Linked DNA regions of Arabidopsis thaliana. The protein of the gene in region 1 interacts with the protein of each later gene in a pairwise test. Each region holds a gene or a part of one and is shown on either strand. Other genes may lie near its edges.

The links.
Region 2: the proteins of AT5G55950 (region 1) and CLV1 interact in a protein complementation assay, tested with the Arabidopsis thaliana proteins (one large-scale study listed by BioGRID).

What each region holds. Positions count from the first base shown.
Region 1 is NC_003076.8:22,652,711-22,667,945, forward strand, and holds AT5G55950 (Nucleotide/sugar transporter family protein), read right to left. Parts: upstream 7,796-15,235; 5' UTR 7,544-7,795; coding exon 7,465-7,543; intron 7,317-7,464; exon of another isoform or gene 7,249-7,316; coding exon 7,097-7,248; exon of another isoform or gene 7,012-7,096; coding exon 6,803-7,011; intron 6,725-6,802; coding exon 6,631-6,724; intron 6,533-6,630; coding exon 6,366-6,532; intron 6,280-6,365; coding exon 6,109-6,279; coding exon of another isoform or gene 6,048-6,108; exon of another isoform or gene 6,026-6,047; coding exon 5,701-6,025; 3' UTR 5,402-5,700; downstream 1-5,401. Other genes in the region: OPT1 (oligopeptide transporter 1), read left to right, coding at 278-344, 474-931, 1,218-1,315, 1,392-1,964, 2,046-3,117; emb2731 (Uncharacterized protein family (UPF0172)), read right to left, coding at 3,546-3,576, 3,671-3,837, 4,343-4,402, 4,487-4,633, 4,963-5,184; AT5G55960 (transmembrane protein C9orf5 protein), read left to right, coding at 10,016-11,866, 11,957-12,052.
Region 2 is NC_003070.9:28,457,230-28,473,823, reverse strand, and holds CLV1 (Leucine-rich receptor-like protein kinase family protein), read left to right. Parts: upstream 1-6,852; 5' UTR 6,853-7,171; coding exon 7,172-9,761; intron 9,762-9,840; coding exon 9,841-10,193; 3' UTR 10,194-10,480; downstream 10,481-16,594. Other genes in the region: LCR67 (low-molecular-weight cysteine-rich 67), read right to left, coding at 1,070-1,248, 1,356-1,419; AT1G75810 (uncharacterized protein), read right to left, coding at 11,700-12,077; AT1G75800 (Pathogenesis-related thaumatin superfamily protein), read right to left, coding at 13,377-13,611, 14,097-14,799, 14,881-14,935; sks18 (SKU5 similar 18), read left to right, coding at 16,436-16,573.

The DNA.
Region 1 (15,235 bases):
AAACCAAAATTCATGTGGTGTAAATTGTCTAAAGTCTGTATTTTTTTTTATTGACATCCATTTTTTTTGTGTCGAAAGTCTATATATGAAGTCAAATTCATGAACAAATGCTTCTAGGCTAAAAACGTTATCGTAATCTTTAATCTTCAGGCTTCTTTTCTAAAATTCCGACTGGTTACCGAGGGCTAGAAAATCCGGTCACCGTCGCCGGAGACAACCTCGGTTTCTAAACGAAACCATCGTGAAGGACGGAAAAAAGGAGCTTGAAGACAAAACAATGACGAGCGTTTTCGACGAACATAAACCCTCCGATGACTCTCACGAGTCCAAGATCGTCATCAATGGTAATGTATCTCTATGTTCCTTCGGTTTATTTCGGTTTATCCCGGTTTTGTTTCGATTCTTTAAATCTTCTAGTCGTTTATGGTTGGTTGGTTTAAGAGTGTGTGTTTGGATTGAATTTTAACGTGCAGGAGAAGAAGAGGTGTTGGAGGAGGAGAATGATAATCCGATTGAAGAAGTCCGGTTAACGGTACCGATAACCGACGATCCAACACTACCGGTGCTAACGTTTCGAACATGGACTCTTGGACTTTTCTCTTGCATATTGCTTGCCTTCGTGAACCAGTTCTTTGGTTTCCGGTCGAACCAGCTTTGGGTATCTTCAGTTGCGGCACAGATCGTGACCCTTCCGCTAGGGAAACTCATGGCAAAGACGCTACCGACAAAGAAATTTGGGTTTCCCGGGACGAATTGGTCGTGGTCTTTTAACCCTGGTCCGTTCAATATGAAGGAACATGTTCTTATTACAATATTTGCTAACACCGGAGCTGGTGGAGTTTACGCCACCAGTATTATTACCATTGTTAAAGCGTTTTATAATCGTCAACTTAATGTCGCCGCCGCCATGTTGCTCACTCAAACCACTCAGGTATATAGTTTTTACATGTCTTAAGTTTTATTGTCTTTTTGTTTTTATAATGGGTGGATATAACAGTAGCTACACAAAAAAAAAAAGCTATTATCTTCTTGATTACGTTCTTCAATCTTTATGATTACTGATTATTATTTTTCTCGCATTTTATACATTTACAAATTATTATATTCATTTTGTTGTTGTGGGTAATAGTCATTTAAATACTAGAACTATGGCCTAAGAAACAAATATTTTTAACGATTTGTGATCTTTAAGACTTTAACAATCATTTCTTTTGCAGTTGTTGGGATATGGATGGGCTGGAATCTTCAGGAAGTTCCTTGTGGATTCACCGTATATGTGGTGGCCGTCAAATTTGGTTCAAGTCTCACTCTTTAGGTTCGTTTCAATGACCCATATATGTGACTCTTATTGCTTTCTCTTAAGCCAAGTTTTGATTTTGGCTATGTAACAGAGCTTTACATGAGAAGGAGGATCTACAAAAAGGGCAACAAACAAGGTTTAGATTCTTCATCATTGTCTTCTGTGTGAGCTTTGCTTACTACATAATCCCCGGCTACCTTTTCCCTTCCATTTCCGCAATTTCATTTGTTTGCTGGATTTGGAAAAGCTCAGTGACCGCTCAGATTGTCGGTTCTGGGCTCAAGGGTTTAGGTATTGGTTCGTTCGGTCTTGACTGGTCCACAGTTGCTGGTTTCTTAGGCAGTCCGTTGGCTGTACCATTCTTCGCCATTGCCAATTTCTTTGGAGGATTCTTCATCTTTTTATACATTGTTCTACCTATCTTCTACTGGACTAATGCTTATGATGCTCAGAAGTTTCCGTTCTATACTTCACACACCTTTGATCAGACTGGACACACCTATAACATTACCCGTATCCTCAATGAGAAGAATTTCGATATCAATCTAGACGCTTACAACGGTTACAGCAAGCTCTATTTGAGTGTGATGTTCGCGTTGCTCTATGGACTCAGCTTTGGTTCTCTTTGCGCTACCATCTCTCATGTTGCCCTCTATGATGGAAAGTAAGGACCTTCCAACATCTTTTGAATAGCTTATTTTCTATGATGACTCTCTCTAAGCTTCTTTTGTGTTTGTATCTTAAGGTTTATATGGGGAATGTGGAAGAAGGCAAAGACAGCAACAAAGGACAAGTACGGTGACGTGCATTCGAGATTGATGAAGAAGAATTATCAATCAGTACCTCAATGGTGGTTCATCGCAGTTCTAGTTATTTCCTTTGCTTTCGCACTCTATGCTTGCGAGGGCTTTGACAAACAGCTTCAGCTCCCATGGTGGGGACTTATACTCGCTTGCGCCATCGCTTTGTTCTTCACATTACCTATCGGAGTTATCCAAGCAACTACTAACCAGCAAATGGGTCTTAACGTTATAACAGAACTGATCATCGGGTACTTATACCCAGGAAAGCCACTAGCCAATGTCGCTTTCAAGACATACGGATACATCAGTATGTCTCAAGCCTTGTACTTTGTAGGAGACTTCAAGCTTGGTCACTACATGAAGATTCCTCCAAGATCAATGTTCATCGTCCAGCTTGTTGCAACTGTGGTTGCATCAACTGTCTGCTTCGGAACAACCTGGTGGCTCATTACATCCGTCGAGAACATATGTAATGTCGATTTGCTCCCGGTGGGTAGTCCATGGACTTGTCCTGGAGATGAAGTGTTCTACAATGCATCAATCATATGGGGAGTGATTGGTCCAGGGAGAATGTTTACCAAAGAAGGTATCTATCCCGGGATGAACTGGTTCTTCCTTATCGGTCTCCTCGCTCCAGTTCCCTTCTGGTACCTATCGAAGAAGTTCCCAGAGAAGAAATGGCTAAAACAGATCCATGTTCCCTTGATCTTCTCTGCAGTAAGCGCCATGCCACAAGCTAAGGCTGTGCATTACTGGTCCTGGGCCATCGTTGGGGTTGTGTTCAACTACTACATCTTCAGGAGGTTCAAAACTTGGTGGGCGAGGCACAATTACATCCTCTCTGCGGCGCTTGATGCAGGTACTGCGATTATGGGAGTGTTGATATTCTTCGCATTCCAGAACAATGATATAAGCTTACCTGATTGGTGGGGGCTTGAGAATTCAGACCATTGCCCTCTAGCGCATTGCCCTCTAGCCAAAGGTGTTGTTGTTGAAGGTTGTCCCGTGTTTTAAGAATTGAAGTAGATGCAACGTTGTCCTGAAAGGGGTAACTGTTGATGGCTTCGGTAACCTTATATCTGTGTAAAACCCTCCAAGTTAAGGGACTCAAACAATGTAAAGCACTAGATTTGGTTTCATGTTCTTCAGTATTTAACTATTCCCTTTGTAAGTATAAGAACAGTAGCCAAATAAAGTAGAGCTTTCTTCATTCCAACTATATAATCAAAATGTAACAAGCTCCAAAAGATATCATTCAAATGATATAACTAAGGTTTAAGATGTGTACCAATTAAAAGTAATTTGAGCTCTGTTGCATAGCTGGATAATACTTTAACAAGATTCAAGGGAAATTTTAAACAATGGTCTCCGAGAACTTTTTTGTTTTTCGACAGAAGATGATGAAAGCAAAAGTCTAGTTTAGCTATGTCGCATACCCATCTTCAGTTGAAAAGTCCAGGGTTTAGCCAGTCCCTGCAATTACAGTGAATATGAGTGAGATATTACCATCTGGTACATAAAGGTTCTAGCTTCTTTTTTTTTGTTTCAGTTCGTGTATTTAACTTACTTTGTTACATCATCAAGATGATCATCAACATCTGTGACGTCCTTCCATTTCTCAGATGAAATGTAATCTGACAAAACTACATTGGCCGATGGCTCTTTTAAGAGTAGCTTGCTTCCTCCATCTGCTCCAACTACTCTCCAGTTCTTAGAAGCATCCTTCACACAGAGCTAGCATATACATACAACATACACTATCACTAAATCCGTAAAAAGTGACAAATAGGAGTTTAACAGCTGCAGAGAAACTGCATCAAGCAGAAAGTACCAAAAGAAAAGGGCGAGAAAGGGTTTATTACATAGACCATATAAGCTTGGTGTCAAGAAGGTTGGTAGCACAATTCAAGCAAACAGTGTGAACTTTAATTAGCTAGTATAGTCATGTATATCTTATAAATTTACAGTATTTGCTTAGGATGCAAAGTTGAGACAAGAGCCTGGAGTAACCATAAATTAGCATATACAACAAAATTTGAGTGTCTCAGTCTTTCACTATTTTCTCTTGATCTTATATTGAGCATAACAATATACCAAAACCATATTTTCAAATACCAAGAAGCTATACTGGTGTAGAGTGGCCTTGATATATATTAAATACTAAATTGACTAACTTCTCAATCTCATATTCATATTCTCCTAAGCTTTTCAAAGCATTTTCATGATTAGAAATACCAACCTGCATCACAGGGCTTCGCTCTTTACCCTTTGATAAGGCTTCAAGCTTTTTGTTGTTCAACTACAAACAGCATAAAGGGACAAAACATAAGATAGTTAAACGAAAATGCTGCATTTGAAAGTAAAGGATAAGACATTTAATTACCAAGAGAATTGGTGCCTGAGGGAAATAGCGAGAAATGTGATCACCAATGTTTTTAGCCACACCACAGAGCTCAACGTCATCAAACCTCTCGTTTGCATGAAAGTATCCAACAATACTTAAACCTTGAGCCACATAATGCTCCTCTATCTACCACAACAAAAAATATACCTGAATCCGTAAGTTTTTCTTTAAAGGATATAGGTACAAACAAAGCTACAGAACAAACACATAAAGATCTGAAATTTCTATGTTAATATAGAAACAACAATAAGACTTCACTGAGAATCAAGCAAACATATAGAAAACTAAGAACAAGCTAATAATAACATATGCAGCTCAAGCTTAGTACACGAACTAAAAATTTCCAGAATTCGTAATTCAATATACATACCAATGCAATCAGATCATAATCTCTTTCAAAATTCAATTTCAAAGCTCGTAAAATCAAATCGATTCGAATAAGAAGAGATACGAACCATGATGAGGGAGATCTCGAGAGGAGGAAGGAGAGCGAGGTTAGAGTGAAAGAGCGGCACAGAATCTGAGATCTCTACAACTCCGTCGTCCTTAGGGCTGATTCTACCGACGAGGACTCCGTTGACCGCCGCCGTCTTGTGTCGCAGCGAGTGAAGAACGAGTTTGATGTACGCGTTCTGGGAGATCTCATACTTCAATTCTCCGTTACTTCCCATTCCCATTTCTAACTCGATCGGCGACTCACTGAGTCAATTGAAAGGAAAATTATAATGTCGCAAAAGCAAATCGAGAAATCGTTCTGAGATTTAGCTCCTTTGTTAACGACGGACAGTGGAATCTCGCACTAAACCGGGTTCGGGTCAGCCCGATTTTATCACCGAAAACCCTATTCCCCACAAGTTTTCACTTTACTACATTAAAGTTTTTGAAATTATAGAAAAAGTCAAAAAGGTTTATTATATTTACTAATTGCACCTCATAATACACATCAAGTGACGACAAAAAAAAAAATACACATCAAGTTTTACATTACTTCTAAACTACACCATCTATTTCATTATCGTACAAATAAACCCACCAAGCCCTCTTGTCACATTATGATATCAAAATATTTTTATTAGTATACTTTACTACACTAATTTGATATCAAAACTGAACCAATTTTACAAACTAAAACCTGAAGAAGAAAAAGTAAAACTCATTTTTTTTCTCTTTGGCAATCTAATCAAATTGTAAAACTATACGATATTTGCAGTTATCGTCTTGGAGAGAAGTGGGTCAACAGAAACTACGGTTACTCCGGTCTCTCCTCCTCCGTCGTCAGCCTCGGCTTTAGGTTTTGAAACGGTGACGTTTTGCTTTGGCAGCTGCTTGTTTGACATGTGATCGATGGATTTCCCCGGAAGATTGAGCCACGTGTAGACAGACATGCCTCCAAGAGCTGCGATAGCGCCGCAGATGCTGATGAAACCAGGGTCAGAGCCGAAGATAACGTAACCTCCAAGCAAGATCACACATGTCTTGAATTGCCCTAATACTACATGAGATGTTGCTGATGTTGCCCTGTAAGAAACAACAAATTTAGTTAGCATTTTATAACCTCAAGACTGAACTTCCAACCAAAGCAAGAGAACAAAAAGACTAACCCGAGAGCGAGTGCACCAGACCATTGGAGAAGAAAGCCGAGAAGAGCCGAGATGAGGATTGCGGAAGAGTTAGTTAAATCCCATTTGAAAAGCAAAACTCCAGGTGGGTCAAGCCATGGCATGAGAGCCAACAAGAAGAAGACAGTAAACGGTGTTGTCTTCCACATCAATCTACATTCAATAAAGCCTTTATTTTAAGAGACTTGTATTGCTTACACCTCAAGTAAAAGTAAAAGAGAGAGATTCTTATTTCTTACGCTAGGGCAGTCCAATTAGCTTGTTGCTGAAGATTAGACCAGAGTATTTTGTTAATGGCACTTGGAATAATCCAAGCAACAGCAACTAATGCACCAAACAAATTAAATTCTAGATCCGTCACTGTCGCGATTGCCACACCTAGAGATACTACAGCTAATGCCATGACCTGTAAGAGGACAAATTGCAAAAACAGAGTAAGCACCAAAAACATGTAATGAATTCTTGATTGTTTTGTTGACATGTCATAAAAGATATAAGCGAAACCTTTGTGGAAGAAATGGTTTTCTTGAAGAGAACAAACTCGGCAAGAACAATCGTTGGTGTAACTGCGATCTTAGCCATTTGATAGAATCCAACGCTGGAAACAAAGAAGAACAAAAGCTTTCAAGCTTAAGCTATGAATCTTGATTCAAACTTTAGCGATTGAGCTATGAACCTATTGTGTTTGAGACTGGTATTAGCGAGTCCAGAAGCAAAGGCCATGACAGCTCCAAGAGAGAAAAGAGATGAGAAAGGTGTTGTCTTTGATGGAGGAGACATTGGAAGCAAAGAGAGAGACTTGAAGAAAGCTAAAAGAATCCAAGCCACGGTATAATGAATCAATGTTAGAAAGATTGGGAAATTGAATCCAACTCTTCCCATCACCTGCACAATTCAACCTTACAATTACATTCACATGGTAAATAAAAAAAAGAGAAAGAAGAATTTGAGATTGAAGAAACCAAATTACTAATTTATTGGCAAGGATGATTCCAACAGCAACAACGAAATTAAAGGACATTGCAACAACAGGGCCACAAAATCTCTGTTGTTGCCTTTTAGCTCCTTCTGATGTTTTAAGCTCATTGTACAAAGAACTTCTGAGTTCTTCCAAAGCTCGTCCTACAAATTCACAAACAGATCAAAAAAGCCTAAAGGTCCGATCAAAACCATTAAAGATCCGATCAAAACCATTTAACTTAAACGGTGAAGAACAGAGACAACGTGGGAATAAATAAAGCATCATTTTTGATCATGAGAAATCTGAATTATGATGAGGCAAATCAAATGAAGAATATGGAGGCAGATTCATGAATTGTTGTTATAATAATGACGTACCTGCTTCTGCAGCATCACTATCTTTCCTTTTGAGAAATTTTCTTGCATCTTTTCCTAACAAAGAATCAACCAGACCCATCACACAGCAAATTAACAAAAATAAAAAATTTGCAATCCTCTCTCCGATTGTTTTAATATCTTCTAAGAAAAAAACCAGATCACATTTTCCATTTTGATGGAAGAAAAACTTTACTTTTAAACAAATAATACGAAAATGACTGAAAAAAATCTGGATTTTAATGTCATGGTATAATTGTTTCGGCTGTTGTACAAGAAGCAGAGCCCTTATAGAGAGAGAGAGAGAGAGAAAAAAAGATAGAAATTTAGCAGTTTGCTTGAAAACGCAGTTTCATTGCGTATCTTTCTGTTTTATTTTATTTTAAATCAATTTATCTCGAAAATTAAGAAAATTTTGAGGAATTTTTCAGGGATTTTTTTTGTTTCTCTTGAGGAAATTGTCGAGTTTGTAATTTGCCACGTGTTGACTTCATCAACGTACAAAATTGTGACTTCATTGATAAAAAATTATTCAGATCGGTACGAGGTTTTATCTTTCTTTCTTTTTTAATGCACAAAACATTCAGATTTTAGTGGTAGTTTTTATTTACAAGAGTGCCTCTGTACCTAACAAAATTAAAACACACACATATATATATATATATATATATGACATTAACTAACTACCAATTTTGTGATCACAATAATGACATTGTACATTTTTGTACATAGTTTAAGCTGCTAGCTTATAGTCATAAGCATATAGACGTCACCTCACGCAACATACTGTTGTGGAAACATAACACTATCAGTAAAAAAAATTAACTTTGAAAGAGTAGCGTTAATTAGTTCCGCAACCTACCAAAAGAAAGAAAGAAAGAAGTGTTAGTTAGCCAAATGATTAAATAGCAAAAGCTTTGGTTAAGTGTCATACGTATAAAGAGTAAATTAAATGAATTTTATGTATAAGTGATGAAAGTTGATGATACTTAAAAAGCTTATTATCACTTTACGAATAAAAATGACTTAACATGTACGCTTGACCTCGAAAACGAGAAGCTTTAATTCCAAGATTTCGAAGTCTCAACAAACTTTTGGAGCCGAGGGCCTACGTAATAAAACAAAAAGCTTGCATGGCCACGTCATCATCTCTTTGTATAAGTAAACTTCTTATTCTAATAAAAATGTAAGATTTGTGGATCCACTACTTTAATTTCTGTCGATTTTAGTATGATTGAAACATTAACACCGATAAAGTCAGGTCCCCTGGTCGTCTTTTGGTTCATAAAGGTAATCCCATTTTGGCGAAATTTGTTTGAACTTGGAAGTGGAAGAAGTGAAAATACATGTAGCACAAGACTGAGATTGACGAGCCTTATTGATTCGGCCCATTTTTATTCAGACCTTATGTTAGTTAACTGGCCCGATCAGCCGCCTGATGGCTGGTGAATAAACCCGATCATTACTCAATAAATCACACAATTATTATTGTAAATCTTTTTCATCTAACTAAAATACTGAACTTTCTAAACAATTGACCATTTTGTTTTGTTTATTGTTTTACAGAAGAATTAATGTTTCCATGCATTACGGATTTATAGTTAAGATTTTAAAGTCTAGAGGTTAGATTTAATTAGAGTTTGAATTTAAATTATTTTATTAATTTATGAAACTCTACACTATTTTTTTTAATAATGTTGATACAAAATTTAGGTTATTCACGTAATTCTCGTATTATGAATTTATTATGTACTTGACAGAATTATTTCATCAATCTTTTTTTCGTTAATTTTTTCCCAAAATTTTAGCCCATGTTTTTAAAAACATGGGGCCAACTTTTGATCATGATTCATGCATGATATCAAGCACTAATTTGTCATTTCCTAACAAATTTCCTGATAGAAAACTTGGGTCAACGTTCTGGTACGGTAATATTAAAAATTTATAATCAAGAAATGGAACTTCGTGCCATAAAATAAAATAGTAAGAAAATGGTAATCACGTGTAAGTAAATATTAATCGAGTGCTTGTTTTGGAATAGAAGAAATAAATCTGTCGATCTTACAATAATCACAGAGACAGGAGAACGTGTTAGATTGTGAGTTTGTGACTTGCGTTAATTATCTGGCTTTGTTGTGTCATGCATGTTCTAGGCATGTGACATTCTTTTAGTTGACAATTTGTATCGGTCTAATTTACTTATAGCAAAAACATCAATAAAGTTTCATAAAAAAAATTATGTCTCAAATTACTGATTTTAATTCCAGGAATAGACCCATCAATTAGTCGTCGGTTAGGGCATTTCCGTCATTTTAAAGTTAAACTAAGATAGTTTCTCTTTTCTGTCTCCTCCATTAATGTCCCAATCATAAAACATTCAATTATCATCTGAGATTTGAGAATAATAAATAAATAAATAAATAAAAATCTGAAACATCTCTTTCTCTGTTTCTTCTTACAGCTTCAAGGCAAAACAAACCCCCAAACAAACAAAAAACCTTCTTTTCAAAGATTTTCAAAAAATCGGCTCTTGGAGGGAGACAGAGATTGATCGATGGAATTGGTCCCGTACGATTCGGAGACGAAATCATCGATCCCCACAAATCTCGCGTGGCAAGAGATGTTTCGTTCCGCTTCATCTCGTAAACCTCAAGACCCTCCGTCTTCTTCTTCTTCATCGCCACCGCGTAAACCTTCCGGCGATGGATCATCAAGCAAAACATCTTTATCAACCGTTGATTCCCAAGCCCGTCTCGCTATGTACATAGCAATGGCTCACGCTGGTCTCGCTTTCGCCATTTGTGTTCTGTATTTCGTCGGAAAGCTATTACAAGAGTATCTAAGACCGATTCAATGGGCGATTCTCTGTTCGATTCCTTTACGAGGTATTCAAGAAACCCTTGTTGATTTCTGGAGCGAGCCTTTGAAATTAGGGCTTACGGAAGTTGTTCTCGCTGTTCCTGTTTCTGTCTTCAATGTTTTCATCGGGTCGATTGTGGATATTAAAAACGTCTGCTTTAGGGTTTTTCTTAGGAGATCGAAACCTAAGAGAACGAGGAAGAAGAACGATACTGGGTTTTCTAAACTGGTTAAATGGTTAGTCTCTTTTGGTGTCTTTGTCATTGCTTATGAGAGGATTGGTGGAATTGGGTCTCTTGTCATTCTCTCTTTAGGGTTTTTGTTTAGTTCCAAGAATGTTGATTCGTCTCTCTCTGCGGTCTCTTCTCTGAGGAGTAATAGTTTTAGGAGAAGCCATTTCACTGCTTATTTCACTAGAGGGATAATGACGAGATTGAATACTATAGTTGCTATTGGTTTGATTGTGCTCATGATTGTTGGATCTTTGACTGGTGTCATCTTCTTCTCGTATAAGATTGGTGTTGAAGGGAAAGATGCTGTTTATTCTCTGAAATCTCATGTTGAAGAGAGTAATTACGCTGAGAAGATTGGGATCAAGCAATGGATGGATGAGAATGATGTTCCGGGAATGGTTGATATGTATACAACGAAGTTTTATGAAACGGTTTCTGAGCAGATTGATAGTTTGGCAATGCAGTATAATATGACGGAGTTAGTCACTGGGATTAAGCATTTTGTGATCGGGCATCCTCAGAACACGTCGACGCCTTCCACGGCGCTTATAACTCCGTCTCCTTATACAGAGAAGCTCATGAGTTTGAGGACTCGGGTTAAGAATCGAGAGTGGAGTCAGATATACTCGGAGGTTGATGTGATCTTCAGGGAGCTTATTATCACTAGAGAAGATTTAGTAGAGAAAGCTAAAGGCTTTGCTGTTAAAGGAATGGATGTATCGCAACGGGTTTTCTCGAGCAGCGCATCGGTTGTTGGAGGCGGTGCTAAGTTCGTTTTCTCTATTGGAAACTTGATAATCTCAGGAGCAGCAGAGTTTTTCAACTTTATCTCTCAGCTAATGATTTTCATTTGGGTTTTATACATTCTTATCACATCAGAATCAGGCGGTGTGACTGAGCAAGTCATGAACATGCTCCCGATCAACGCAAGCGCTAGAAACAGATGTGTCGAAGTCTTAGACTTAGCGATATCCGGCGTGCTTTTAGCAACAGCGGAAATCGCCTTCTTCCAAGGATGTCTCACTTGGCTATTGTTTAGACTATACAATATACATTTCCTTTACATGTCAACCGTTCTTGCCTTCATCAGCGCTCTGTTACCGATTTTCCCTTACTGGTTCGCGACAATCCCAGCGGCTTTGCAGCTCGTGCTAGAAGGAAGATATATTGTTGCAGTGATTTTATCTGTGACTCATCTTGTGCTAATGGAGTATGGTGCTTCAGAGATTCAAGATGACATTCCTGGGTCCAATGCTTACCTTACTGGACTAAGTATTATTGGTGGAGTCACTCTGTTTCCTTCTGCTCTAGAGGTAAGAAAATTAAAGGATTGGGTCTTTATGAAATTTGGAACAAAAATTGGCGATTTTGTAATGTTTTTTTCGGGTATTTTGTTGTTGCAGGGAGCGATAATGGGGCCGTTGATAACGACGGTGGTGATTGCTTTGAAGGATCTGTATGCAGAGTTTGTTCTGAATGAGCCAAAGAAGATCAATTAGTTGTTATTGGTTTCTTTAATAGGAGCTTCAAGTGCTTTTGCCGTGGCTGCTTTGTCTTGGAAGAAGATTCATGTAGATTAGTAGAGAGACTCAAGTGTTGATTGAAGTGTGTGTTTTGTGTGGATTGTAATTTATAGTGTGGAGAGAAATGTGTAGCAGTAAATTTCAATTTCTTGTTGTCACTGTTGTATTATTGTATGAGTTCTGATTCTTTTGGGAAACCTTGTAAATTTCTTTGCCATATTCGTTTTTCTTTTAAACTTTAGGTTTTACAAATAACTTATGGAATTAGCATTTGAATTAGAGTTGAGCTGACGAAAATGTTAATAATCTGTTGTATTTTTTTTGTAAAAGTATATGTTTATAAACATGAAATATAAATATTCTTACTTAACAAAACAAAACAAATGGTGTTATACAGTAGTTAAGAGAGCTTAAAGCCCAATACCAATCAAACCATCTCTAGCTTATACAAATGATGTTATTATGACAACTAAGCCCAATCAAATAAGAGTATGTGCAGTAAATTGTAGTAACTAGTAGTATCAAATTATAATAAATACGGGTACGTAAGTGTAAGTGATGTCGGAAGTACCAAAGAAGCGGGTCAGAGCCGTGTTACAGAAACTGATAATGCGACTTCAAGCTAATAATAATCCACGTGTCTTGTGCTCGTGTGACGTGTCATGATTTGATGTTGTTTTTTGGATTTTCCTTTCTTTCCACAAATAAATAATTGGTCAATGTTGAGTGATGGAGATTTTCTCTTGTTTAAAGTAATCATGTTCGTTAAGTTATATCCCGCCATTGGTCCCCGAATGGTCGACGAGGCCGACATATGTATGCAAATACATGGTCTAAAATGAAATTTAAATAACGTCATGAAATAATATTTTAATTAAATTATCCTTATTATAAGATCACAGAGTATACAAGTCTTTTTGTTACTAGTGTTTTAATTGTTTAATCACCATTGCGTAATGGGTTCATTACGACAAATCTAGAAAAGTATCCTCTGTTTCGTTTTACTAGTTGACAACTATAAAGGTTTTAGATAAAGTTGGAAAATACCATTTGGATTTTTGTGTTGTCAGTGTCACCTGTTTAAATACTTACTATTTTAAGAATATACTATACATGGCAATATAGCTTATTCGCTATTTACTAGTCTCGGAATTCGGAAATTACAACTTAAGAGGTCAAAAGGTTAGAATGATAGACCAGCGAAAGTACAAATAAGCAAATTTATAAAAATCTTCGTTTCGACTAGTAGTACATATATTTGACAAATATTGACAAATTTAACGTCCATGAAAATGTGTACTTTTTAAGAACGCAACAAACAACAGAATATTTTCTTATCTATATTCAAAAAAGTTATAAGAAGTCAAAACGTTAGAATGAGAGACCAACGAAAATACTATAGATTAGAAAAACTACTAGTACATGTTAACACATAATATCTGACATATGTTACTTGTAAACATATGAAACACTTGACAAAATTTAACATTTTATCAATAACAAGGTGTATTTTTCAAACTCCACAAACAATAGAATATTTGAATTGTCATATTTATTAAAAGGTTTTATTAGTAATTTGTTTTATACCTCACATTCTACACCAACCTAAAATGTCAACTCCGCGATCTATCCGAGCATGAACCAGAACATAGAATTACTTGACCAAAGACCTCCGACATCAACGGAACGTTCTAGAAATTTGAATTTATAAATTTCATTCAAAATTGGTTTATCTTATAGTATATCCTTGACCACTATTCTATATATAATCCGACAAAATAAAATAAAAATGAGGAAAACAACGTGGAAAAAGAGAGAATGGGCTCCATAACGTTTAGATGATAGAAAAATCTTCTGGTTGAGATTAGTTAGCCAACCATCCCCACTCCTTCCAATAGTACCCGCCATTTTTTCAATTGTATTGCCAAATTTAGTAATTTCACGCATTTTAATTTATACAAAATTTTAATAATAGAAAAAAATTTGGTTATCATATTTTTTTTTCGGTTCTTATTTTTCTCTTTATTATAATATTTTTTTATTTTCATAATTTTCTTATCAACACCAGCTAATTTTGGTTCTTCGATACATGCTCTTTTTATGCTTTTGACCTGCCTTATATATACTCAACTGAAAATAATGAAACAAAGTAAAATATTCGTGTTCCACTAAAATCAAAATATTTTCTAATCATTTTCACTATATATCGAATAAAACATTACCATAACATGAAAATCTCAAAAAGTCATATACAGTATATGTAAATCCACAGGAAGCTAAAAGATGATTTTTCAATATTACTATATTTAGAGAAGAGAAGATTTTTCTGTTAGAACAAAAAAGATTGTTATATAGGTGAAATGAATGATGACTTCATTGAGATATGTTATTCTTATCCATTTCTTTTGATAAAGATATATATAATAATAAACTCCGAAACAAAAAAAAAGGATCAAAAATTGAAGTATCTCTTTACCTTTGCCCACAATTCTAGAGAGAAAAAGAGGGTCTGCTTTGGCGGTTGGAAGTAGCAGTTGCTATCAAAAACATTGCTTCATAAACAAAACCTCAGGTGTTAGATTAGGCCAACCGTTATCTTCTATATCTTCTTCTTCTTCTTCTCTTTGATTCTTCAAACCAAAGCATTAACAAATAAAGATTCCTTTTTGTTATGGTTTGATTTATTGGTCGCCATCTCTCGCCCAACTTCACCTTCTCTGACATAATCACTACACCTTCTTCCTCTCTGTTTCTATATCAGAAACTTCATCTTCCTCTCAAGTTTTCTCATTTCACACTCAAATTCAATTCCCTTTGTTCGTGAGGTTGAATTTCGGTTGCAAACATTTGGGTTTGTTGTAAATTAAGGTTCCGTTTGTAAAAGAGATTCCTTTTTATTTGGGGAAATCGAGGAGTTCGTGTACGGAGCTGAGTTTTTGCCTTTTTGATGGTTGCAGATAAGGTATTTGATTATATTCCTCAGTGAAGTTTCATGTGTGTTATTCTTTTGTTATTGTTGTTGGGTCATGGAAATTTCATGACTTTAATTCTTTTTTTTCTTTCATGTGTGTTTCATGATCATTTCGTGTATATAGTTAAGGTTCCATGTGTGTGTGCTCATAACTTATAAACCTTTGTTGCAGAATCTCATTTAATTCT
Region 2 (16,594 bases), on another chromosome or scaffold:
AAAAAAAAAAAAAACTCACATTTTATCAAAAAAAGAAGAAAAATTGTGTCTAACAAAAACATATGCATTGCTTAGTACTGAAAATTTAAAACATGGTTGAGACTTGAGACATTGGGCCCATATATGCAATATAGAGCCATACGGTAATACATTTATGAGAGATTTTTACGACTTTTCTGAATCAACCTCGAACTATAAATTATAAAACAGTCACATGTTATTCTAGTTAGACTTCAAGTAGTGAGAAATTCAGTAAAAAGAACAGTCAAACCCACAAATTTCTGTTACATTATTTAACAATGAAAACACACAAATATCTGTTGTAATAGAGTAATAAGTAAGCAAGCATACGTACAGTGTGATACACAGTACAAATCTAACATCAGATACTAGCTTGAGATAATTTAATATTAATATGGGTGCAGGAAATTTTTGCCACGCTGGTTCAAACTCCATAGAAGTAACAGTTTTGTTTATATTAACATAATTTACAAATCTTGGAATTGGGATATCTATAGATATTTTTTGAATAACCACATAACTAGCTGATCAGCATGAACATTCTAGATATCAGTCTTGTAAATTGACATAATTTTGGTGGAAACATACATTTGGTATTCTTCTCCGAAACCGCCTGTTTTTTACATTGTAGCCGAGCCTAAGTACAATAAATAAAAATTCAAAGATGTCAACACAAGACCTCGTTTTTTAAAGTTGAATTAGCTAGGTAAATCTCTTTGGTATATAATTAAGTCGGAGATTGTGTTATGTAGCTAGCTCTCTTTTATGTATAAGCTGAATACTCTTTATTATAAGCAGTTTTTATGAAATACTATAACATATTCCTCCGATTCTCTATTTTCAAATAATCGTTTGTGTTGTGTTGGAGTTTTGCAGACAAATATGGACAAGAAGAAACAGTAGTATACGTCGTACGTAAAAGTTTATCTTATTAAAACAAAGCAACATAACATATCTGGTACATGTCATAAGACCTCTCATAGAGTGACACATACTTATTTAATAGAAATACACACTTTATAATTAAGCATTAAGAGCTCTTGGTAGATTAACATGGGAAGTAGCAGATACATTTGTGAGCTGGGAAGACATAGTTGCAAGATCCATGTCGTGCTTTCTCAAGGTTAATGCACTGATTCTTGCACGCGTTACTGTTTCCGCAAACTCCGGACCATGTCCCACTTGGCCTCTCGCACAACTTCTGTGCTTCCACCACCATCGGTGCTTCTGCATATAGATATATCTCTCACAGTTAATTATCACAATAAAATGAAAGAAAAAAGGTTAAAACTCAATTTTCCATGCATATGGTATACGATAACATCATTACTCACCAAGAGCAGCAAAGAAAACAAGAGCAGCGAAGAAAAGAGTAACGATGGTAGCAGACTTAGCCATGACTATTGTTTATACTTAGTTGTTTTCGATGTATATATGTTTTAGTTTGAAGAAATCTGCTTGAAATCAACCACTATTTATAGTGAAAAAATGATGGGGAGGTCGACTTTTACGTGTGCATGGGACAATAAAGCGTTCAACCCTATAAATAAAAAAATACACACCGTCTGATAGTAGAGAATACTAACATGCAAGTATTCATCTAATGATAGAAGATAATATCTTGACCAATTCATAAAAAGTGTGCTGATCGTGATCGGTGGCGAGTTTTCAGGTGCTACGTTTGTTCATTTGCAATTTCATTGGACCGGTGGCTACTACATTAACTGTTAACATCTCTGGCTGGTTAATTTGACTTGGTCAAAATTTTAAATATGTTGAGCATATCCTAGTACGGTACTCAAGTGGTACTTTGTCTCGACCACATCGCATTTAATAATAAACCATGAAGTTGGGTAGTATTTTTTTATCGACTTTTATTATTTTTTACTGAAACCTCCAAGGAGCTACTTCACTAGCTGGCAAGTTGATAAATTAGGTTATTTCTTCACTTTCTTTGGTATTGATTATATAATCATCAAACTAATTAGGATCTAAACATGTAATTAAATATTAGCAACATAGTGGATTTGGACTAACAAATTTGTAAAATAGCGCATAGATTATATTTAATTTCGTAGTTCCCACCTCAACTCCCACACAAAACTTCTTGGATTCAACTCTGCCATTTTCGGACGACCGAGAAGATAAATCCGATTTAATTTTATTTATTTAACTTATTGTTTTAAGGTAAAAAAAAATTTTTAAGAAAAACTGAAAGAAAATTCGTTTTCGATTTCATAGCCGTCATCCGCAAACTTTGACAAAGACTTGTCTCCTCTTTAAACATTTTCTGTATCAACAGCCACGTACCTTCAAGCCCTTCTAAGACAGCACCAGCACTAGCCGTGCATGGACAAGACAAGTAACAAACTCAGAATAGTACACCACCCAAGTTAATTTGTTAGGTTATTATTAAGAATAGAAAGAGAAGTTAACATTGTTAGATATGAATTATATTTGGTTAGATTAAGAATGCTTAACTTAGGGAAGGCTGCTTCTCTGTTTAATGTAACTTAACTATTTAAGTGGCTGCTTTGGCTTTTGAGTCAAGTGTTACATTGCCTATAAGAAGTGGGCTTATTTTGAATACACACACAATTAAGGGATCAATTATGGGATTAGCATATTAAAGTCTGTGCTTTTGTAGATATAGGAACATCTCATGTTCCTTACAAATTTAGATACTTTTATATTATATGGATGACTGTTTTATCCTTCAATCTAATTGAGTTTCTTCTCCTTGTACCTTCAATCTAATTGAGGAGAATTCATCAATATCAATCGATCTCAGAAATGTGCGATTATTTCTCTCTCTTTCTCTTTCTCTAATGGCATGGAATCTATTGCCTCTAAACTCACCATTGATGTCCATTGCTTCTCCATCACCTTACAAAATTCAGATCTATGCCTGGCCAATCTTCTTCCTCGACGATGCAGGTGGTAATCCTCCATAGCTTTTTTGAATTTGAATTGTTTGATCTGAATTAATTTCATCCTCTCTTTCTTCAATTTCAAAGAGGGATAAGAAATAATTGAAAATTTTAATCGATTCCAATTATTTAAGATTAGTATATTTGGGTTCGTTATATAATATTTTCTTAGGGGTTAGCTTTCTTCCATCAAAAAGCTTTTAACTGATTTTATTGGGGTTTATCTGAATTGGATGGTGATGAAATGTTATTAACAGATTTTCTAATTTTTGTCTCTATCGATTTTGTTTCCGTAAATACATCTTTTGTGTATATATTGTCTTGTAGAAAGAAACATTGATTAAGTAGAGAAATAGGATAATCAATCTCTGTACTTAATACATCATCCATTGAAACAAGTTAGGAATCGATCCAATATGAGGCTCTGCAAAAACAATTCAGGAAAAGATTCTGCAAAAACAATTTAGGAGAATGAGTGAAATCGCAGGGGCAATTTCGTCAATTTATTTCCCAAAAACTGCCTATCTTCATAAACTCAATCATAATGTGCTCTTTCTCTAATTTATGGCCCAAAATGTACCCAATATTATAAAAGCCCCCACAATTAAGCACCAAAGAGTTTTGGTACATTAACTTGGGAGGAAACAGAGACACTTGTTAACTGGTAAGGCAACATTTCAAATTCCATATCTTGTTCTCTCAAGTCCAATGCATTTATCCTTGCACGCTTGATTGTTTAAACCATTTAGATTAATGGGTTGGCATTGGTCACGCTGATCCAATGTTTCAAATGGGTAAGTGAATGTTGATTGCCGACGTGACTGAAGACCCAAGGCCCAACGACCTACTGGTCCAGGTTGACTATGAACAAAAGAACTAGATTTTTTTTTCCCCTACATTTTAAAGAAAATACTTGATGAAGATGTGGTGCCTTTTCATAAGATCTAAAAAGTTTCAAATCTTTACGATGGAACAAAAAGTGAAAGGTGAAGTAAGGGTCATTTGGGATTGAGAAGTTTCTTCGTCCAAAATCATTGCATGAGTTGAATAGATTTGGGATTAAAGCTGCCAATACAAGAGGATTCGGTAATGACTGAAGCAAAAGCCCAGCAGGGCCATTAGGCAAACACCAGTTTCCAAGACGGATTTGTGTAAGACCACTTATGACACAAGTTTGTCTTCACTATCATCATCTTCTTCTTCTACTTCTACTACTACTTTTGTAGCCTTGTCGTTTTTATCATTAACATGATTGACAAGACTATGACCTATATATCTTATTATTATCATTGCTCTCTCTATTTGTTTATATTGATTATTACTTTTTGAGATTTTTCAATGGTTTTATCTCTAACTAAACATTATAATTAGTGAAACAAGCTTAGTAGAAGTAAAAGTATTATTCTATGCTAAAGTACATTGATTAGTAGAGTGTGTAATTGTGTATACAGATAATCTATAAACAATTGGTGCATCTGTATATAAAACTTTATGATTTATTTATTGTATTTAATAAGTATATGAATTGGGTACCTAACTTTCTAAACAGTTCCAAATTTATTCTTAAATCAAATTGCATATGATTTTTAAATATTTTGAGACGATTTTATTATAACGCAAACAACAGAGTAAAAGAAGCATATGTTGCAAATTGTACTATGGCAAGTTCAAATCGAAACATTTTTGTGAAAATCAAACATGTGAACCAAGCTTCTACAGTTTAATTCCCTTTCGTATAATTTAATTTCAACAAATTTATTGATATCCATCTAGAAATTGGTCCAAAGTTCTTTCACCCTTGAGTCATTTAGTGATAAAGATGACATGATTTTTGGTGATAAATTTTCCATCGTTGCTATATGTCGTTATATTATTCTCCTATATGTATATTATACTATTTACATCAGAAAATAATCCAAAGTTTAGAGATTCTTTTTTACAATAATAAAATTTCCCACTTACTAAAAAGAGCTCCTTTTCTGCTGAAGAGAACCTAAACCTTTATTCCCAAAGTTCATTGAGTTAGAGCATTTTCAGCGAATCACATAAGAGATGCTCTCTTCTTCATCACTAATTGACATCTCATTGTTTTAAAGGTTGCACTTGTACCTGTTGATCTGATTCTCAATCCACTTAAGTTAAACCAAATAGACACGAGAAAAAAGCACATTTATTTGTTGCTAAGTATGCATATTTTTCAGCGTTTACTTCTTAATCTAATGTATATCATAAGATAATATCTAAAAGAGAATGCACAAAAGATTATTAATATGAGAAATTCGCTGCCATTTAGGAAGGACCTTTATACCAATATACCGCAATAATAATAGAACATTGGTCCCCAAGTGTATGTCAACCCCAAGTGTATAGATTTCTTTAAAGATTAAAATCCCTTTTTGTTGCTAAAGCACCTGATATATTTTTCTATCAAACTAAAAAAATTGTTAGCGGGATGAAGATATATTCGCCAAGAACCATAGTGCTTGTATAACGGCAGACCATTAATTCACAACTATTATTATTTTATTGTTAGATTGTTGATAGAATCGATTTTGATTGTGGCAGAATCGATCTTGTAAAAACTGCTTTAAGGTGCTTACTTATAATTAAGAAAGATTCACTTATGTAAGTTAAGCATATTAATCATATCATTCGGCCTAATTCATTAGGAATATTTTGCTATTCGTTTTGCCATCATTAACAACAAAATTGACACGTTTTCAGCCAAAAGTATTAACAACTAAACCTAAAACTTCAAACATTAAATAGTTTTTAGTATCTTTAGTTTCAAACTAGTGATTTGTCCTAATATCAACACTACGAACGAATTTATATACATTGAACTTTTTTCTGAATCACCGATTACAAAACGAATATAATTTGGTATCGGCAGTTGCTATTAATTTGATCGGTTTGGACTTTGGACTAATCACGATCAAATCTTAAATGGACCGAAGTGAATAAATCCCTAATGTTTTCAAGAGAGTCACACGAACGAAACAAAGGTAAAATATGAACATAGAGCGTGGGGACCTTGAAGCAGAAGGTCTGTATGGTGACAGACCGGTGAGTGGAGTGTATGAATGAACGAGAAGTGAGAAGACAAAATACAAGAAAGAGCGTTGACTTGGAAGTTAAAGCCAAAAAAACCACAAGGGGCAAATTTGTCTCTTTAGGAAAAGGACACAGACAGACTTTCTATACGGGCCAATTAGAAAAATAGGCCCTACTTCTAATTAAAGCCCATTTACTTCTCTCCTTGTCTTCTTATTCCTCTTTTCTCCCCATCACGTGACGACGATGCTATAAACGCCGTCGGATTATATAACTGGTGCCGTTGACAAGACGGCGACAGAAGAAAGAAAGAAGAAACCACAGGCTCTAGGGAACGTAACGTTATGTCCTGTCTATAGCATTTATAACGGTCAGATCAACGCCGTTTAGATAAAGATCTGTCAATGTTAAAGAAGAGATGCATCTCTACACCGTTAAATTTAAAACGCCGTGAACCTCTTATCTATTGATTTTTGTTTGATGAAGCCAAAACAAATCGTGTCAGAAGACTTATCAGAGAAGAAGAAAACGACGACGTTCCCGTTTCTCCATGTCTAATAAGTGTAGTAGTGGCGGCTACTAAAAACTCTAAAGTTTGACTCCAGTAAAACTGCCTTTCTAGTGTAATTCCAGTGATTTTAGAGTTTGAATAGTGTGTGACCAAATTTGAAAGTACAATCTCAGCAATATTATTGATCACTCGTTATAAAAGAATCGAATGTAAAAATAGCCAATGAGAGACTGAGACGTATGTGTTTGACCATAAGTCGTATAGTTTGTATCTATCTACCTGCAAGATCAGCAGATGGTTCTCTGATCAATTGTACCTTAATTATCTTTTATTTTCGTAAAATTTCTCTATTCACAAATGATAAATCTACTTAAGACAGTAACCATAACAAGATTTACAAGATAATTTGAAAAATGAACACATAAAAGTATTTTGGCGCATTATTTTTAATAATAACAATATTTATGTAAAGTCACATAAAAGTATATATTCGCTCACAAAGTCTTACGGTATTTAGAACAGTAGTACCACATCGATTCTCTTCATCTTCTTCTTCATAATATGCCATTGTTCATGTCTCTGTGTCCTATCGCATAACACTCACGCTATCTTATTATTTTCTCTCGCTCTTTCTCACTGAGAGGACACTAAAAAAATGGCGATGAGACTTTTGAAGACTCATCTTCTGTTTCTGCATCTGTATCTATTTTTCTCACCATGTTTCGCTTACACTGACATGGAAGTTCTTCTCAATCTCAAATCCTCCATGATTGGTCCTAAAGGACACGGTCTCCACGACTGGATTCACTCATCTTCTCCGGATGCTCACTGTTCTTTCTCCGGCGTCTCATGTGACGACGATGCTCGTGTTATCTCTCTCAACGTCTCCTTCACTCCTTTGTTTGGTACAATCTCACCAGAGATTGGGATGTTGACTCATTTGGTGAATCTAACTTTAGCTGCCAACAACTTCACCGGTGAATTACCATTGGAGATGAAGAGTCTAACTTCTCTCAAGGTTTTGAATATCTCCAACAATGGTAACCTTACTGGAACATTCCCTGGAGAGATTTTAAAAGCTATGGTTGATCTTGAAGTTCTTGACACTTATAACAACAATTTCAACGGTAAGTTACCACCGGAGATGTCAGAGCTTAAGAAGCTTAAATACCTCTCTTTCGGTGGAAATTTCTTCAGCGGAGAGATTCCAGAGAGTTATGGAGATATTCAAAGCTTAGAGTATCTTGGTCTCAACGGAGCTGGACTCTCCGGTAAATCTCCGGCGTTTCTTTCCCGCCTCAAGAACTTAAGAGAAATGTATATTGGCTACTACAACAGCTACACCGGTGGTGTTCCACCGGAGTTCGGTGGTTTAACAAAGCTTGAGATCCTCGACATGGCGAGCTGTACACTCACCGGAGAGATTCCGACGAGTTTAAGTAACCTGAAACATCTACATACTCTGTTTCTTCACATCAACAACTTAACCGGTCATATACCACCGGAGCTTTCCGGTTTAGTCAGCTTGAAATCTCTCGATTTATCAATCAATCAGTTAACCGGAGAAATCCCTCAAAGCTTCATCAATCTCGGAAACATTACTCTAATCAATCTCTTCAGAAACAATCTCTACGGACAAATACCAGAGGCCATCGGAGAATTACCAAAACTCGAAGTCTTCGAAGTATGGGAGAACAATTTCACGTTACAATTACCGGCGAATCTTGGCCGGAACGGGAATCTAATAAAGCTTGATGTCTCTGATAATCATCTCACCGGACTTATCCCCAAGGACTTATGCAGAGGTGAGAAATTAGAGATGTTAATTCTCTCTAACAACTTCTTCTTTGGTCCAATTCCAGAAGAGCTTGGTAAATGCAAATCCTTAACCAAAATCAGAATCGTTAAGAATCTTCTCAACGGCACTGTTCCGGCGGGGCTTTTCAATCTACCGTTAGTTACGATTATCGAACTCACTGATAATTTCTTCTCCGGTGAACTTCCGGTAACGATGTCCGGCGATGTTCTCGATCAGATTTACCTCTCTAACAACTGGTTTTCCGGCGAGATTCCACCTGCGATTGGTAATTTCCCCAATCTACAGACTCTATTCTTAGATCGGAACCGATTTCGCGGCAACATTCCGAGAGAAATCTTCGAATTGAAGCATTTATCGAGGATCAACACAAGTGCGAACAACATCACCGGCGGTATTCCAGATTCAATCTCTCGCTGCTCAACTTTAATCTCCGTCGATCTCAGCCGTAACCGAATCAACGGAGAAATCCCTAAAGGGATCAACAACGTGAAAAACTTAGGAACTCTAAATATCTCCGGTAATCAATTAACCGGTTCAATCCCTACCGGAATCGGAAACATGACGAGTTTAACAACTCTCGATCTCTCTTTCAACGATCTCTCCGGTAGAGTACCACTCGGTGGTCAATTCTTGGTGTTCAACGAAACTTCCTTCGCCGGAAACACTTACCTCTGTCTCCCTCACCGTGTCTCTTGTCCAACACGGCCAGGACAAACCTCCGATCACAATCACACGGCGTTGTTCTCACCGTCAAGGATCGTAATCACGGTTATCGCAGCGATCACCGGTTTGATCCTAATCAGTGTAGCGATTCGTCAGATGAATAAGAAGAAGAACCAGAAATCTCTCGCCTGGAAACTAACCGCCTTCCAGAAACTAGATTTCAAATCTGAAGACGTTCTCGAGTGTCTTAAAGAAGAGAACATAATCGGTAAAGGCGGAGCTGGAATTGTCTACCGTGGATCAATGCCAAACAACGTAGACGTCGCGATTAAACGACTCGTTGGCCGTGGGACCGGGAGGAGCGATCATGGATTCACGGCGGAGATTCAAACTTTGGGGAGAATCCGCCACCGTCACATAGTGAGACTTCTTGGTTACGTAGCGAACAAGGATACGAATCTCCTTCTTTATGAGTACATGCCTAATGGAAGCCTTGGAGAGCTTTTGCATGGATCTAAAGGTGGTCATCTTCAATGGGAGACGAGACATAGAGTAGCCGTGGAAGCTGCAAAGGGCTTGTGTTATCTTCACCATGATTGTTCACCATTGATCTTGCATAGAGATGTTAAGTCCAATAACATTCTTTTGGACTCTGATTTTGAAGCCCATGTTGCTGATTTTGGGCTTGCTAAGTTCTTAGTTGATGGTGCTGCTTCTGAGTGTATGTCTTCAATTGCTGGCTCTTATGGATACATCGCCCCAGGTTAGTTACATGTCAACAACATTAGTACTCACCAAAATGATATATGTTCTGATTATCATTTTGTTTTTGGTTTGCATAGAGTATGCATATACCTTGAAAGTGGACGAGAAGAGTGATGTGTATAGTTTCGGAGTGGTTTTGTTGGAGTTAATAGCTGGGAAGAAACCTGTTGGTGAATTTGGAGAAGGAGTGGATATAGTTAGGTGGGTGAGGAACACGGAAGAGGAGATAACTCAGCCATCGGATGCTGCTATTGTTGTTGCGATTGTTGACCCGAGGTTGACTGGTTACCCGTTGACAAGTGTGATTCATGTGTTCAAGATCGCAATGATGTGTGTGGAGGAAGAAGCCGCGGCAAGGCCTACGATGAGGGAAGTTGTGCACATGCTCACTAACCCTCCTAAATCCGTGGCGAACTTGATCGCGTTCTGACCCAAGCAAGATAAATATGAAAATAAGATGCGAAATGTGGTGATCATTTTTTGGGTGTTCTTATTTATGGTTTCTAATACTTTCGGGTTTGTATATTTGTTGTGTTTCAATTTGTATATTACCTCTTTATGTGTTATTATCTCGAGTATGTAATGTAATCAATATGCTTATTGCTTGATGGCTTTAAACTTTAGCTAATTCTCCGTTCAGAGTGTATAAAATAAAAGAATGTGAGAGCTTTGACCTCTGGATTTAAGTCTAGACTGTTTAGAATATGTGAATTAGGGTCATATCTAAATTCAGGTTTGTGTTAGCTTCCGACAGTGTCATGTTGCAATCTTGACCTTACTTACAAAGTATTTACCAGCAGATGGCTCGGAAAATAAAAAGGAAACACATCTGATAAAAAAAAACACGGAATCAACAGACTAATGGTTGATTAAGAGATTGGACTCGTACTCTGCATTTGGAATAATGACCAGTTTCATTGAGTTCTTGGGGGTCATTCACTTCTCATATTTTTACGAGCTAAGAAAATCACCTCAGGGTCATAACATTGTAGTTTCTGCTCTTGAAGCAAAACACACATAAACTAAGAAACCGGAAAAATTCACAGAAATCAACAACCAAGAAGCTTTAAAAGTTCATGAACAACAGAATTCAACCTCTATAATGTGCATTTTCCCACAAGATGAGGATGATGCTGTGAAGCTAATTCTATCCATAACTCTTACCTCCATTCATAGAGCAATTCAGAGAAGAAGACAAGGCACATAGTCACAACTTATAAACGGGTGTGAGAAGAAGACAAGGCAAATTAGTCACAAATTCATTAAGGTAGAGAAACAAGATCCTTCATTACTCTGTTTTAGTCTCTTCATTAAGAATCATATACAATTTAAATCACAAAACTTTCAAGGCCACAATCTTGATTAACTTGGAAAGACCTGAGTTTCATTCAGATTTAAACAACACTGCAGCTCTCAAAATTCAAAATCGATTGTATAAAGAAAACAAGAACATCTATCATCATCATAATCACTATCCGATTTTACAACATATCAATACAAACAAAAACCTCCCAGCTTACACGAAGAAGAACATCATTACCTTATTCCTTAACTCCGAACACATGTTATTTAGATTACTCTGTTTTAGTCTCTTCATTAAGAATCCCCCAAAATTCTCAATGCCACAATCCTCATTCAGTGGTAAGACTCGAGTATCAACATTCAAATTTGGATAACAGTGCAGCTCTTAAATTCAAAATCCATTTTTACTTTTAAAAACAAGAACATCATATCTATAATCATCACAATCACTATCCGATTTTACAACATATCAATACAAACAAAAACCTTCCAACTTACAAGAAGAAGAACACCATTACCTTATTCCTCATCATCATCTATTACACAGAAAATCTATGAGAAACGTATATATCTAACACATGTTATCTACTTCACAAAAGTCAAAATAAAGAGGGAAAATTCGAAGTTTATATACTCAGAAAGCACCGTAAGGTATATGTTGTGGAAGCCTAAATCGAACCTGTGAAGCCGGAGACCGAACCGCAACGCCGTGCCAGCAAATCCCTCCTTTACAAATCGCACCACCGTCGTGATGGTGACGGTGGTGGCTAAGATCTTCCTCACCACCAACACGATTGTACCGAGAAACCGCCTCCGCTGCTCTACGAGACACATCCCAAGCAAGCGTAACTGCAAGCAAAACACCAACTGCCGTAATCGAAACGACGACGACGAATCCAGCGCTGAAACTCCTCCCGGTGATTAATCCGTAGGCTTTAATCGCGATAATCACCGCCACGTAGATCGTCGCGAGATTCCCGAGAACCGCGTCGGATAACGCCATGAGACACATCTAGGACTTTACTTCTTCTTCACCGTCGCCGTGAAATTCGTTGCGGTGGAGGAAGCTTTTTAACAGAAAAAGTGGAGAAAAGCGAAATTGTGGTGGATGTTGAAATACTCAAAAAGACGTCATCCTTGTCAACGAAGGGAAGGATATTTTGAAATTACTAAAACACCCTTGACAAGATCTTTTGCTTCCTCTCTATGGCTCATCACTAATGCGAGAAGAGTTTGGTAAAAGTACCCTTCCCGTAAAACGTCACCGTTTCGGGATTTGGTCAGACTTGCCACGCACTACATTTATGGGTGTATGACATTCTCACGCATGTCGTTGTCAAGGTCCTCAAAGTCCTCAAGAGGCTCTATTTATGTCTGTGGTCAAAATTTGATCGTCGTACTCAAAAATAAATGCTCTTTGGACTTAGTAATTGTTTCTAACGGGCCTCTAAAATCAGTAATGGGCTCCAGTATTAGACCCATCTTGGTATTAACTATTAAGAGTTCTTCTAATTTGAATAGTGGTGTGTTTCCTATGAGATATTATGGCATGTCTTCATCATATTCCATGATGGCTTTAATCTTATGATATTTTTTTGGCAAATCATATGCAGTGAAACAGACACTTGGTTTATATTTATAGGTTTACTCCCACTGTAAATCAAAGGCATCGTCATCAACTCACACTTAATTAAGATTATCTCTTTAATCTTTTTTCAGCTAGTGGTATCACTATTACTGTGTAGGTCCATTTAACTTTTGAAACTTATAATAGAGAATTTCTTATGGCTCTCATATGCGGCTTGTAAAGTCAAATTATTATTAAATACAGTAGTTGGGACAAGACCATGAAATGAATATTAGTATTATTCATTTCAATGTTCCGAATGGCCAACGCAGCATCAGCAGATAACAATTAAATGAAATATTCCCACCAATAGTTTCCAATATATAGCTTTAAACTAAATAGATTACTGCTTTATATAGTGTACATAATATTCTTCTAATCCTAGTTACATTATAAATCAAATAAATATTCTGACCTTACAATTAAACATTCCCATCTTTTATGAACTCCACCAGCAGCCCACTTTCTTGCCCACGTGTTCCTCACCCAAATTAAGAATTCTCCCATGAACATGAATGAAGGATATTTTCGTAACTGTAGGGTGTTGTTAACTTTTTTTCTCAACTCTGACCCAATCCGACGTCGTTCGGGAATAACCGGTTCACATGGGCCGGAACGAGATAAGGCTTTCGTCAGTGAGGGCCCACATTCTTCAGTGTTTTACGCGGGAGACAAAGTTAGGTGTCAAAAGAGCCGCCACATCCGACAAAAGGCCAGCGCAAGTGTGACTGTGATTCCACATAACGAAAGATGACACGTGGACGGTGATCCTTTGTTTTGATCCAAAGCTCCTTCGTATATCATTGATGTATCTACCGGTGACCACGTCGTACTACTATCTCCGGCAGGAGTTGTCGACGACGTCCCGGTTGGTGTCGTCGGTTTGGGATCTGGGCTCTGATCTTGAGATGATTTTTGACTGCAACAAACAAAAAAAAACATAGCCGCTTAGTAAATGTGTACGTGATTCTGCCACGCGTCCCCTCGAGATTAGAGATCATATAAAAAAATATCTCGATGAGCCGTTAACGATCCACATCCCAATAAATCTATCTTCATATTCGAGGGTAAATTGGGACTATCAAACAAATTGATAAGAAAAAAAGAAAAAAAATCGTAAATAAACAAATTTTTCTTTTTGCAGTATAAAGCAAAATTCTATAGATTCGGAGTAATTTATTTCTAGCTATAATTAAGCGTTACTTCAATTGCACGGTAAGCAAAAGGTAATTAATGGTTAGTAAATATGGTGTCTGCAGTAATTGACGAAAATAACCATAATCATAAACTACTATCCATGCTAATTTGGTGCAACAGTGAAGAAGATACATTCTATATTGACAAAACTACCCTCATAGGCAAGGTGTGTTAATAGTTATAAAAGGGTATAAATGGAATAATCACCTGGTGTTAGGAGTAGGGCAAAACGTGATAACGTAATTAGGAGATTCAGCACATGTGAAGGTACTACTCTGATCATCGTAAGCGTAGCTGTAAGCACGTGGACACGCAGTTTTAAACATCAACGAGTACGACGACGGTTTACACGTGTCAGGTGTACCGTGGGCGCCGCTGCAACAATACTCCGGCGTACGAAAAGCTTCACACGCGCTTTTACATCCCATGGATTGTTTACCTCTGCCGTCTAAACTCGTCACTTTAAGCTCCGACGGACACGAACCGTTCAGATCTACAACGCATCCGGTGCTGCTACAGTTTAAACCCGAGCCTCCTTGTGGAGCCACTAGCATCGGGACGTTGTAACCGTCGACGAGACTAACGTCGTAGAAATCGAGTCCGTTAGATCCGTCTAGTGTGAATTCCGCTAGTGTTGCTGGTGGTGTTGCTCCGGATCCGGAGCATTCGAGGGTACCAGATCCGCAATCTCCGGTGAGACAAGTGAATTTTCCGTCGGTGTCGGTGGAACATTGAGTTCTCCCCCAGAATCTTCCTCCCCATGAAGTTGGAGCGCTGATTGTTCGTTCTTCGCCTTTTTGGAGAACGAATCCGGTCGTCGGAAGTGGTGGAACTCCGGCGTTTGATAAAAGTCCAGGCCAGACTGTGTATTCGCATTTGTTCACCATAATGAAGCTCGTTGATCTAACTCCTGTTTATAAAACCATAAAATCATCAGAATCACAGTATTATTAATCATAACTAAAGTTGATCTATAGGAGAAGATTCGTACCAGAAACGAACAAATGAGAGAAGATAAGGAAGATCAATGGCAACGGAAGAGCCATTGAATTGGAGAAGAAGAAGATTTAAGGACTTTAATTGCTCTGTTTTCTTCTTCTTCTTTATTAGTTTTATTTATGAAACAGAGACTTAAAAGAGGATTCTGAGAGCGAAAGAGAGATGAAGAAGAAGATGTGTGCTTTATAGTAGAAGCTTTTTTCCTCTGTTGGTGAGAATCTGGTGTATGTGTTGGTTGGTAGCTTATGGTACGCCTGCTTACGTGGACACATCTAATTGGTTATTTTTTTTAACCGTTGAGATTAAGAAAAGCACCTGATGATTTTATATAGTAAATTTTGTTGTTTAATCGGTTCATAGTTCATAATTAGCACTATACGATAATGGGTTAGTCTGGTTTTTAAATAGTTAAATTACCACTAATTGTTGTCCGAGTTTGATTGATAACATTTTAACGAAAATATCCAATTACCTTTTGACGTTCACTTTTAATTAAAAATATCTACAAAACGTAAAGTAGATCTTTATTTTTCAAGATTCTTTAACTTTACTGTTTAGTTACGTGATTAGGATTTGTAACCACGTAGACGTGTAAAACAAAATTACTTTTTTATCTGTGATTTATAGGAATTTGAGATTTGAATGCAACGTTGTTGTTTCATCTAACAATAAGTGATGAAGAACTTCAAAAGTCTAAAACCATATCATTTATAAAATCATCATTTCATTTTCAGAACAACTAGGTACGATTAGTGGACGTTTCAACGTCTTTCATGATAATCGCGGGCCATGTAAATTATTATATTTGAGGAATGAGGATCCATATAATATCTTGGCTATATAAAAATTATTTATTTGTTCAATATAATATCTTTGCGTTTTATTGATCAATTGCAAGTTTGCAACGATATACACCAGGAAAAAAAAGGAGAAACAAAATTCATTTTGCTTATACGTATGTACTATGTACATTTCTGTATACTCAAAGTTGTTAGATATTTTGTTGTGGAAAGTGATAATGTTGTTACTTTTTACTGTTTTTTAGGTGGTGTGAACTGTGAAAGTTTGAAAGATACAAAAGTGATGAATAATTTTTCAATAATTGTTTTGCGTTGTATTATTTTTTGTAGGAGTAATAGCGACCATCTTTGTAATATTGTGTAGACAGACAGGTCACATCCACTTTACAATATATCGTAAGCAATTGCCATCGTCCTCCCTCACGTTTTTTTTTTCGTCCGTCACATTACAATAAGATATTTAATGGGCCTTTATGCATGGTTTAGTATAATGAATAAGCCCAGCAAATTTTAACAAAAGCACAAATGTGCTGCCCATAAATTAGGTTGGAAATGCAGATTGCATGAACTTTTCGATCATATTCAAAAAACATAGCACAAAACAAACGTTAACTCCAAACAGAGTAACAATAGTTGTCGTCTAATTAATATATTGTTCCAAAGAAAAATATGTAGCTACGTCTTGCCTCTAACACCTCTTTTTCACATCACAAGCATCTTAAAATTTCTTAAATCACTCTTTTCGCGATGAGACATGTCTTTGTCGAGGTGTTGGTTCTGATCTCTTTGGTCATCTTGGAGTTGAGCTATGCGTTTGCACCAATCTCATCGTATCAATGGGTCGTCTCGTATTCTCAACGTTTCATTCTTGGAGGCAACAAGCAGGTAACCATTTTCATTTGAATA